Linked DNA regions of Sus scrofa. The protein of the gene in region 2 interacts with the protein of the main gene of each other region in a pairwise test. Links are inferred from orthologs where the notes say so. Each region holds a gene or a part of one and is shown on either strand. Other genes may lie near its edges.

Evidence for each region.
Region 1: the proteins of MAPK7 (region 2) and UBE2C interact in binary tests that used the Homo sapiens proteins (3 or more experiments, as listed by UniProt). The two-hybrid records come from large-scale screens. The link is inferred for Sus scrofa from reciprocal best matches to the Homo sapiens genes MAPK7 and UBE2C.

What each region holds. Positions count from the first base shown.
Region 1 is NC_010459.5:48,016,948-48,021,279, reverse strand, and holds the start of UBE2C (ubiquitin-conjugating enzyme E2 C), read right to left. Parts: upstream 2,878-4,332; 5' UTR 2,792-2,877; coding exon 2,691-2,791; intron 2,148-2,690; coding exon 2,120-2,147; intron 1,345-2,119; coding exon 1,258-1,344; intron 826-1,257; coding exon 621-825; intron 508-620; coding exon 448-507; intron 11-447; coding exon 1-10. Other genes in the region: DNTTIP1 (deoxynucleotidyltransferase terminal-interacting protein 1), read right to left, coding at 3,947-4,085, 4,199-4,254. UniProt on the Homo sapiens protein: Accepts ubiquitin from the E1 complex and catalyzes its covalent attachment to other proteins. In vitro catalyzes 'Lys-11'- and 'Lys-48'-linked polyubiquitination.
Region 2 is NC_010454.4:60,145,717-60,150,091, forward strand, and holds the start of MAPK7 (mitogen-activated protein kinase 7), read right to left. Parts: upstream 3,028-4,375; 5' UTR 2,653-3,027; coding exon 2,421-2,652; intron 1,885-2,420; coding exon 1,719-1,884; intron 1,145-1,718; coding exon 66-1,144; intron 1-65. UniProt on the Homo sapiens protein: Plays a role in various cellular processes such as proliferation, differentiation and cell survival. The upstream activator of MAPK7 is the MAPK kinase MAP2K5.

The DNA.
Region 1 (4,332 bases), on a different chromosome or scaffold from region 2:
TTCTTAAAGGCTGGAAGAGAACGAGGAGGTCTCAGTAAGCCATGGGCACAAGGGTTAAGGTTGGCAAGAGGGCAGCAAGGATACAGCTGTGGGAGGAGTTTGGGGGGTTGGGGAAGGGTTTCCCAGCCCAACAGAACTGTCCCCCGGCTGCCCACCCAGCTGGGGAGGAGACTTGGGGCCCTCAGCAAGCAAGTTGTTCGCACAAAGCTTTGCCTTCTACTGAAAAAGCCCCTCAACCTACATGAATGCGACAAATTCTGATTTTATAGCAAACAGGCAAACCAGAAACACCAAGGCAGAGGTGGAACTGGGTTACCTGGTTGAACCCCCCCCACCCCCCAGTCATCCAGACACATTCCCAAGTCACTGGAATCCTTCAGTAGCTGGGGGGAGCCTTTGATGGTTGGGGAGGGATGGCTCGGTGCCTGAGAAGGATGAAGGACCCACCTGTGGGGTTTTTCCAGAGCTCGGCGGCATGTGTGTTCAGAGGGCTATCGATGTTGGGTTCTGTGGATGGAGACAAAGAGCAAGGTCAGGTCGGGGTAGAAGAGGCTAGAAGAGGCTGTCCAACCCGGGAACAGGCTCCCAGGTTGGGGGGGAGAGGCCGTCTCCGCAGTCACCTCCGAGCAGGCTCTGGATGGAGAGCAGGATGGTCCTGACGTCATACAGGGCGGACCACTTGTCTTTCAGGATGTCCAGGCAGATGTTTCCTTGGGTGTCCACGTTGGGGTGGTAGCAGGGCGTGAGGAACTTCACTGTGGGCGCGTTGTAAGGGTAGCCGCTGGGGAACTCCAGAGAGAGCTTATACCTCAGGTCTTCATATACCTGGAGAGAGAGAGACTGGGGAGTAAGCCTCTTTGCCTGAGCCTCAGTTCCAGCTCAGGCCCCACGTAAGGGGCTTGTCAAGACCCCCGAGTTTGTCTGGGACTCGGCAGAAGACAAAGCATTAAACTGGTGGTGCCTTCCCGCCTAGCTGGTGGGACATTGCGACCCTTTGGGCGAGGGCCCACTGGCCTAAACCCTCAATTGCCCTTCATTCTTTTCCTTGCCGTCTGGCCCCTGGAAGTAGCTAAGATGGAGACCCCGCCTTACTGCGCGGATGGAGAGCAGGGCCACAGGCTCAGGGCTCCAGGAAGACACAGGGGAGTGTCCCACCAGGTGAGAAGACTCAACGCAGAACTGGCACCTGGATTTCACCTCCCACCTCTCCCCAGACTCTGCAGAGTCACCCTCACCTACTCCGACCCCTACACTTACTGTGCCGGCTGCTCCATGGATGGTCCCCACCCATTTGAAAAGGTTGTCTGACTCAGGGAAGGCAGAAATTCCTTTGTCGCCAGACATCTGGGGAAGAAACACAACACTTGCTGGGCTGAAGAGTGAGTGTGCTCTTGCAGGGGAGGGTGTGGGTGAGGGAGCCCCTGCCCCTTAACCTCATCACATCTGGACCCAGAATGGAGCAACCAGGCCAAATTGATTGATAGGCTCTTCTGAGGAAGTGGGGAGATCCTGGGGGCTGAATGTGCCCCCCGGGAGGACTGGGATTAGGTTTATCACCAGCCTAAGAGGGAGGGGTTGTGTGGGGGAAGAAGAAGGCAGCTTTGTATCCACAATTTTGCTGGTTGCTGGGAATTCAATTTGACATGCCATTGAGTGCTGGTTGGACACAAAGCCCAGAGACTATTCACAGGCTGGGAAGATAAACAGCGTGGGCACTGAAGGATTTGAGTTGAATATCCAGGGTTAATGTAGAAAAGACTGGCCCGAAGGAAGCATTCCAAGGTAGGATGGGATTAGAAATATTTAGGATGAAGAGTTGGGTGTAGGTAAATTTTAGGACAGGGAAGTAGAGCCAGGAAGGACAGAGGGAAGGCCTCGTAAGAGAGCTGTACTTTAAGGATAACTTCTTTGTGGCAAGATGGGACTGGGAGTAAAGATGCCTGGGGGGAAGATGTGTAGGTGGGGTGTGTTAACTTCTTCCCAGAGGAGAGCAAGCTGGACTCATCTTTTTACCCCATGCCTATCAAAGAGCCGGAGCTAGGAAAGGAGGCTACTGATAAGTGACTGGGAGGTGGGAGGGGAGACCAACTGGTTGGGTATCCGGGCACCAGTCACTTACCATGAGGGTCATCAGTTCCTGCTGTAGCCTGTGAAAAGAGCATCTGGGGGTCATCTGAGAGTCCAGGGCTCCAGGAGGTGCATCTCTTCCCATCCCAATCTCTCTGGAGCAGCTGTCACGGAGGTTTCCCTCTACCCTGAGGTCGGACTTAGCTGTGGGCATGGTCACCCCCATTTCCACAGGGGGGTCTTAGTGAGTCCACACCCTTCCTAATGCCAGGCTCCCGGAAGGAGAGCTCTGGCTTATTCTTAACCCCTAATTCTGCTTCTCTGGCGTCTCTCTCTGTGCAGGATCTCAATTTCTCACCTTCTAGCCCCCTTCCCCGCCGCCCTCCAGCCAAGCCACAGAGGGTCCCCAGGGCATCTTCATCTTGGCTCATCCACGGAGGATCCTGGCAGCATCCCTACCCCTTCTGTCGTCCTTCAGAAGTAGGCGATCTCCTGGCGTGTACCTCTACCTCTCATACCTCAGCTGCTCCAGGAGAATGTGGGGGTCCCCGGAAGTCTTTGCTCTGGGCTTCAAATGCCTAGGGCGTGCCAGGCCCGGCAAGTGTTCCCTCGGCACCACTCACCTCTTGCCCACGGGGCCCCGAGCGGCACCCCCGCTGGGCTCGGCTCCTTTACGGGCGGCCGCGAAACTGGCGGCGGCTGGGTCGCGGTTCTGGGAAGCCATCTGGGCAGCGCTGGGAGGGAGACAGGATCTCAGGGTATCCGGAGACCACGGCTGCAACTGCAGGGCCGCGGTCCCGCCCGCCCGCGTTTGAATTGTAACCCTCCGGAGGTGCCGGCCAATCAGTGGCTCGCTTGGGTTTAATCCAGCCAATGGGGCGCTCTGTCACTGCTGCATCCACCCACCAGCGCACCACTATTGGGCGGCTGGATCCCTCTTCAGATGGGCGATTGGTAAGAGAGGCTGTCATTAACTAACGAATCTGTAGTGGATTGGTGGCCTTTGGAAAACGCCGACCATTAAATGGCCTAGAAGACATCCACGTGGGATGAATCCCTTGGCTACTACCGCACGCCGGCTTAGGACTCCCTGCTCGCAGAAGGGAGGGTCTCCGATTTCGGGGCCCTGGTACTTATCCCCCAAACCGGATACCCCAGCTCCTCCACTTGTTATTAATGTCCTGGGCACTTTGGTTAGGGCCTTAAGGGTCTGAACCGTCAGGCGAGGGTAAAAACTAGTGGCCGAGGGCCAGAGCCAGAGACCCCCTACTGGAAAACAGGTTCAACGGTGGCCTCTCCAACGGCTTCCTGTGCTACCCTAGGCACTTAATTTCGTGTTTTAACCTTAAAACGGGGGTAATAAAAGCCGCCTTACATTTTCCTGCTGGTTTGTCATCAAATGTCCATGATCCCAGCCGTCACATTCTGCTACTCCCATGCCTTAGTTGGGTGAGGAGATAAACAGGGACAGGAAAGGCTGGCAGCAAGGTACAGGCTGTTCCCAGTTTCTCACGGAGCAGATACGCACAGGCCACTGGGCTTCCTGGGATGGGGGAGGGGTGCTTGGGCCTTTATTCCCTACACCCACTTCCTCTAGGGAGAGCCCTTGATATTTTGTCAGCCCCCAGAGGCAGACTTCACAGCAGGCTCACCATCTGTGTTTATTACAAACTGTTTAATTGCTTCTTATCCCAAAAACTTTACAAATATAGAACCACATGCCAGTCTGGGGGTGCTCTGCAGTGAGTCACTACAAACTAGCCCAGGCATAGCTTAATGCTGCTGAGATCCATCTAGAAGCAGTCCCAGCAGTGACCTCAGCCATGTGGGTAAGAGGGCCTTAAAGGAGGGCTGCCAAGTGTAGCCAGGGGACCTGGCTTCAGGTCTGTGGAGGTGCTTCAACAGCGCGGTGCTCGTTCTCTGTCCGTAGTGTCTCCATGTACTTTCGCATCTTCTCAACCATCCAGGAGGGTAGGACAAAGGACTTCAGCTCCTCTAACTTCAGGTCCAGGCATCCTCTGGGACAGACATTGAAGAGGAGAGTTGGAGCAAGGGAAGATGTAGGTCCAGGCTCATCCCAGGGGCTACTGTGAGGCAGGGGGAAGGGTAGGGGACAGACCGCTGGTTTTACCTGTAGTCATCGCTGGCAGCGAGGTCCCGGATGTCCTCCTCAATGAGGAGGTAGGCCTGGGGCAGGAACAAAGGAGAGTGGTCACTGCCTATGATTCGTTTCATTCCAACTCAATTAACACTTTATTAAACGTC
Region 2 (4,375 bases):
CCGTCCAGGCTGGGGGGGGTCCCCTCGGCCCCACTCCCCAGCCAGCCACCGCCTCTGCCACGCACCTCGGAGCCGGCTCTGCAAGGACTTGAGCAGGGCGGCCTTGAGGGCGGCCTTGGTGTTGTCCGAGATGGCACCCTCCCTCTTTGGAGGGGCTGGCTCACTGGCCGGCGGGGGTGGCTGCAGGGTCAGATCGATGGTGTCGGGCGCAGGGCCGGTGCACGGCAGTGGGGCCGGCGGAGGGGACTCCATGGCACAGTCCCCGCTGGGAGCCCAGGGACTGGGCATCTCAACGTCGGGGCAGCCGGGCTCACTGGCCACAGGCTGCAGGGAAGGCTGGAAGCGGATCTGCTGGCGGATGCCCTCTCGCCGCGCGTGGAAGTCCTCGATCTCGGCCACAATGGCCTCCTTGATGCGCTCCCGGGTGAGGGCTTCACGGTCAAAGGCAAAGTCAAAGGGCGGGGCACAGTCGGGCTCGTCATCCGGGTCGTGGTACTTGGCCAGGAAGGGGTGACGGAGGGCGGCAGCGGCTGAGATGCGGGCACTGGGCTCAAAACGCAGCATGTGGCCCAGAAGGGAGAGGGCCTGGCGGTCGGCCCCCGGGTACACGGTCTCCCAGGGCACGGGCTGGCGAGGCGGCAGGCTCTGGATGTAGGCCCGCACCCGCTCCGCCCCCACGGCCTGAATCACGGCCGGCGACGGGGTGCCCAGCACCATCATGATCAGCTGCAGCTGGTGCACGTAGTTTTTGCCCGGGAAGAGCTGGCGCCGGGCCAGCATCTCCCCAAAGATGCAGCCCACGGACCACAGGTCGATGGCCTGCGTGTACTCGTGCAGCGAGAGCATGAGCTCGGGGGCGCGGTACCAGCGCGTGGCCACGTACTCGGTCATGAAGTACTGGTGCTCCGCGGGCGAGGTGCACAGGCCGCGGGCCATGCCAAAGTCCCCGATCTTCAGCTCGCAGTTCTCATTCACCAGCAGGTTGGACGGCTTGAGGTCGCGGTGGATGACCTGAGCCGAGTGCATGTACTTGAGGCCCCGCAGCAGCTGGTACAGGAAGTAGCGCACGTGCTCCAGCGTCAGCGGCTGCGAGGAGTGGATGATCTGGTGCAGGTCGCTCTCCATCAGGTCCAGGACCACGTAGCTGAGGGCAGGGGAGAGGCGGGGGGCGGGGGGTCCTGGTGACGCTCCAGCCCCATCCTCACCCAGCTCTCCCAGCTCCAGACGGGTCGGGGCCTAACTCTCAGATGCTGTAGGCGCCACCCAGGTGGTGTGAAGATTCTAGATGTCCTACAACTTTCCATGAACTTAAGGGAAACTACTAGTGTCGCCACCAGAGAAAAGGTGGGCTTGGGCTAAACCCGCCTGGCCAATAGGTTTTGTCGGGGGAGGTCTGGTAGTGGCTCATGGAAGACGGTGATGGAGACGGGAGGGGCTTCCGTAGTCTGTGATTGATTAGTGATGTCTGCTAGGGGAGCAGCCATGGTAGACACGGAATGCGGGGCTTCCCTCTGCCAGCCCGCGCGTTGCCATCCTACGCAGCTACCTCACGCTCTTCCGGAGGAATCTCGGGTGGCCCCGGCAAAACCCCAAGGGAGCCCTGGTCTTGGGATGGTGGGAGGTTGCCCAGCCTGCCTTGCACAAGGTCCAGAACTTGAGCGCTATGGCCCCAGCCTTCCGAAAAGGTGCCCGCTCTGCCTCCCGCCGCCCCTCCTTACACAGACTTGAACTCGCCGTAGGGCACGGTGGGCCTCAGGATGTCCTTGATGGCGATGATGTTGTCGTGCTTGAAGTGCTTGAGGATCTTCAGCTCCCGGAGGGTCCGCTTGGCGTTGGTCACCACGTCAAAAGCGTTAGGGATCTTCTTGATGGCCACCTGCTGGCCTGGGGCGCAGGGAAAGCGGATGCCCTGAGGGACCTTGGCGGAGCTCGGAGTGGCGCGCGGCCCCTTTCACCCCCTCCCTTCTAAGACGCAGGGACAACAGCTTCCCTGCACCGAGCGCCTACTGTGTGCCCGGTCCTGGGCTCAGCACAGCACCTGCACCACCAGCTGCCCCTCCTCCTCTCCCCGGCAGGTGCTCAGAGCCCACGAAGACACGTGGAGCCGGGGCTCCCTGCGGGCGGCGCTGCCAGCCGGCGAGGGGTAGAGTCTAGACTCCAACGCCGTGCTAGCGCCCTGCTCGGCCCATCTCTGCCCCCAGCTATGGCACCGCCAACCGCCTGCGCCAGCCTCGGCTCCGGAACACGTTCCGGGAAATCTGCACCCTGGTCTCACCCGGACGCTCGACTTTCTGAGGAGGACGCGAACCGATGCGCTGGCACCCACCGCGCCGGGGCTGCAGAGACCTGGGCCCTGCACAAGCGGGCACCGGGCGCCTGGCCCCCAGTGTGCACACCCCGGCCCGCCCGCCGGCGCTCACCCGTGAGGCGGCGGCGCGCGGAAGACACCACCCCGTAGGCCCCGTTGCCGATGGTCTCGATGATCTCGTACTCGTCCCCCACGTCGAAGGTCACGTCGAAGGAGCGGGCCTTCAGCAGAGCCAGGTTCTTGGCCGCCACGGAGGCGGCGGGGCCGGCGGGTTCCGCCTTCACCGGCCCGGGGGGCTCCCCGGAGCCGTCCTCGCCGTCTTCCTCCTTCAGGGGCTCGGCCATGGCGTCTGCGCGGAAACGCTGGGGAAGAGGGGCCCGCCGCCGGGCTCAGGGGCCCCGCACCCGGCCGGCCCGAGCGAGCGATGCGCGCAGCCCGCGTCCCCCACCGCGCGCGCGGGCCCCGGGCTCAGGTCCGCGCGGGGCGCGGGGTCGGCGGTGGGGGAGGTGCCGCGAGGCGCGGTCCAGGAAGAAAGCGAGGGGCGGGGCGCCCGCTCTTCTCGGGCCGCGCTCGGCGCCCGGCGCCTCACCCCGACGCCGCCCGAGCCCTGGAGGTCGCGGGCCCCCGCCTCCTGGGGTCCCCGGCCTCCCGGCCCCCGGTCGGGGTGGGGGACCCGAAGACCCTCCCGCTCCCTAGACCGCCGCCTCCACCACCACCTCAGCGGCGCGCATTCTGCCGGGCCGGTCCCCGCCCCGCCCCCCGAGACCACGCCTCCGCAGGCTCTGGCCAATCCCTGGATGGCCTCGGCGGAGGCACCCACCCCTTCCACTGGCTGAGCCCAATCCGGGCCCCCCTGCCGAGGAAGCCCCGCCTCCACCAGCGCGCGCACCGCCGGCCAGTCCGCTGGCGGGAGCCGCCCAGCAGGCACTCGGCGCTCCACAGGGGCGCTGCGGCCTGGCGCCGGCCTCGCACGCATGCGCGCTGGCAGCCCCGGGCGCCGCGAGACTGGGAGGCACCGCCCCCCGCGCGCGCGCTCCCCACGGGCAGGGGCATCTGCGCCCAGCTGCCGCGGCTGGTCCCGGGAGCTTGGGGGGATGAGGTGGCCGGATGCCACCCTGGCGGCCGCATCGGGACGTCCTCCTCCTTTAGGCGCCTCTTCCCTTGTCAGCCCCTACCTACCACCCCTGGGGTTACGTCCTCCGTTTCCCCGATGGGTCCCGGGAACCCAACGCTGGGAATCTGTCATCCCAGGTAGCCGGTGGTCGGCCACATCCCACCAGAGATCCCGGTCCTCCGGTGGCTGGTCCTCTCCGCTCAGCTTCCGGCGGCCCGGGGCCTCGGCCTCGGGCGCGACCCCTCCGCAGGGTGGCTGGGTGCAGCGACTCCCGCGCCGAGGCTGCGGGGCAGCAGACAGGCCCGCAGGGTCAGCTGTGCCCGGAGAGGGCAGGGCGGGGCCCGAGCCGATGCGGCGCCCCAGGCCGCAGGGGACCCGATGGCTGGCTGTGTGACCGTCCCGTCTGATCCGGGAATAAAGCAGAAAGTATCAGAAGAGGTTGACAAACTGTGAATCGTTCAAGTGCTTCCTCTGCATGTTTTAGCTGGGATGGGTAGACAAGTTACAGGCATTCTCTGGCAACAACTCCGTTTCTCACTCACTTTTGAATGCGCCATGAGCTGCTTTACTTCCACCGTGACTCCGTCCTGGAAAAGCCATCAATCACCTTTTTTTTTTTTTCTTTTAGCCACGCCTGAGGCATGCGGAAGTTCCCAGGCCAGGGATCAAACCCAAGCTACATCAGTGACAACATTGGATCCTTAACCCGCTGAGACACCAGGGAACTCCAAAGTCATCAGTTAACCAACATTCTTCAGCCTTGCCTTATGAGCTCGCTGCATCTGACAACTGACTACTTTGAGAAAAAGTTGTTTCACATGGCTCAAAACTCAAACAATACTCAAGTGAAAAAAATCTTGGTCTCTCTCCCTCTTTTTTTTTTTTTTTTTTTTTTTTTTTGCTATCTCAGGGCCGCACCCGTGGCATATGGAGGTTCCCAGGCTAGGGGTCCA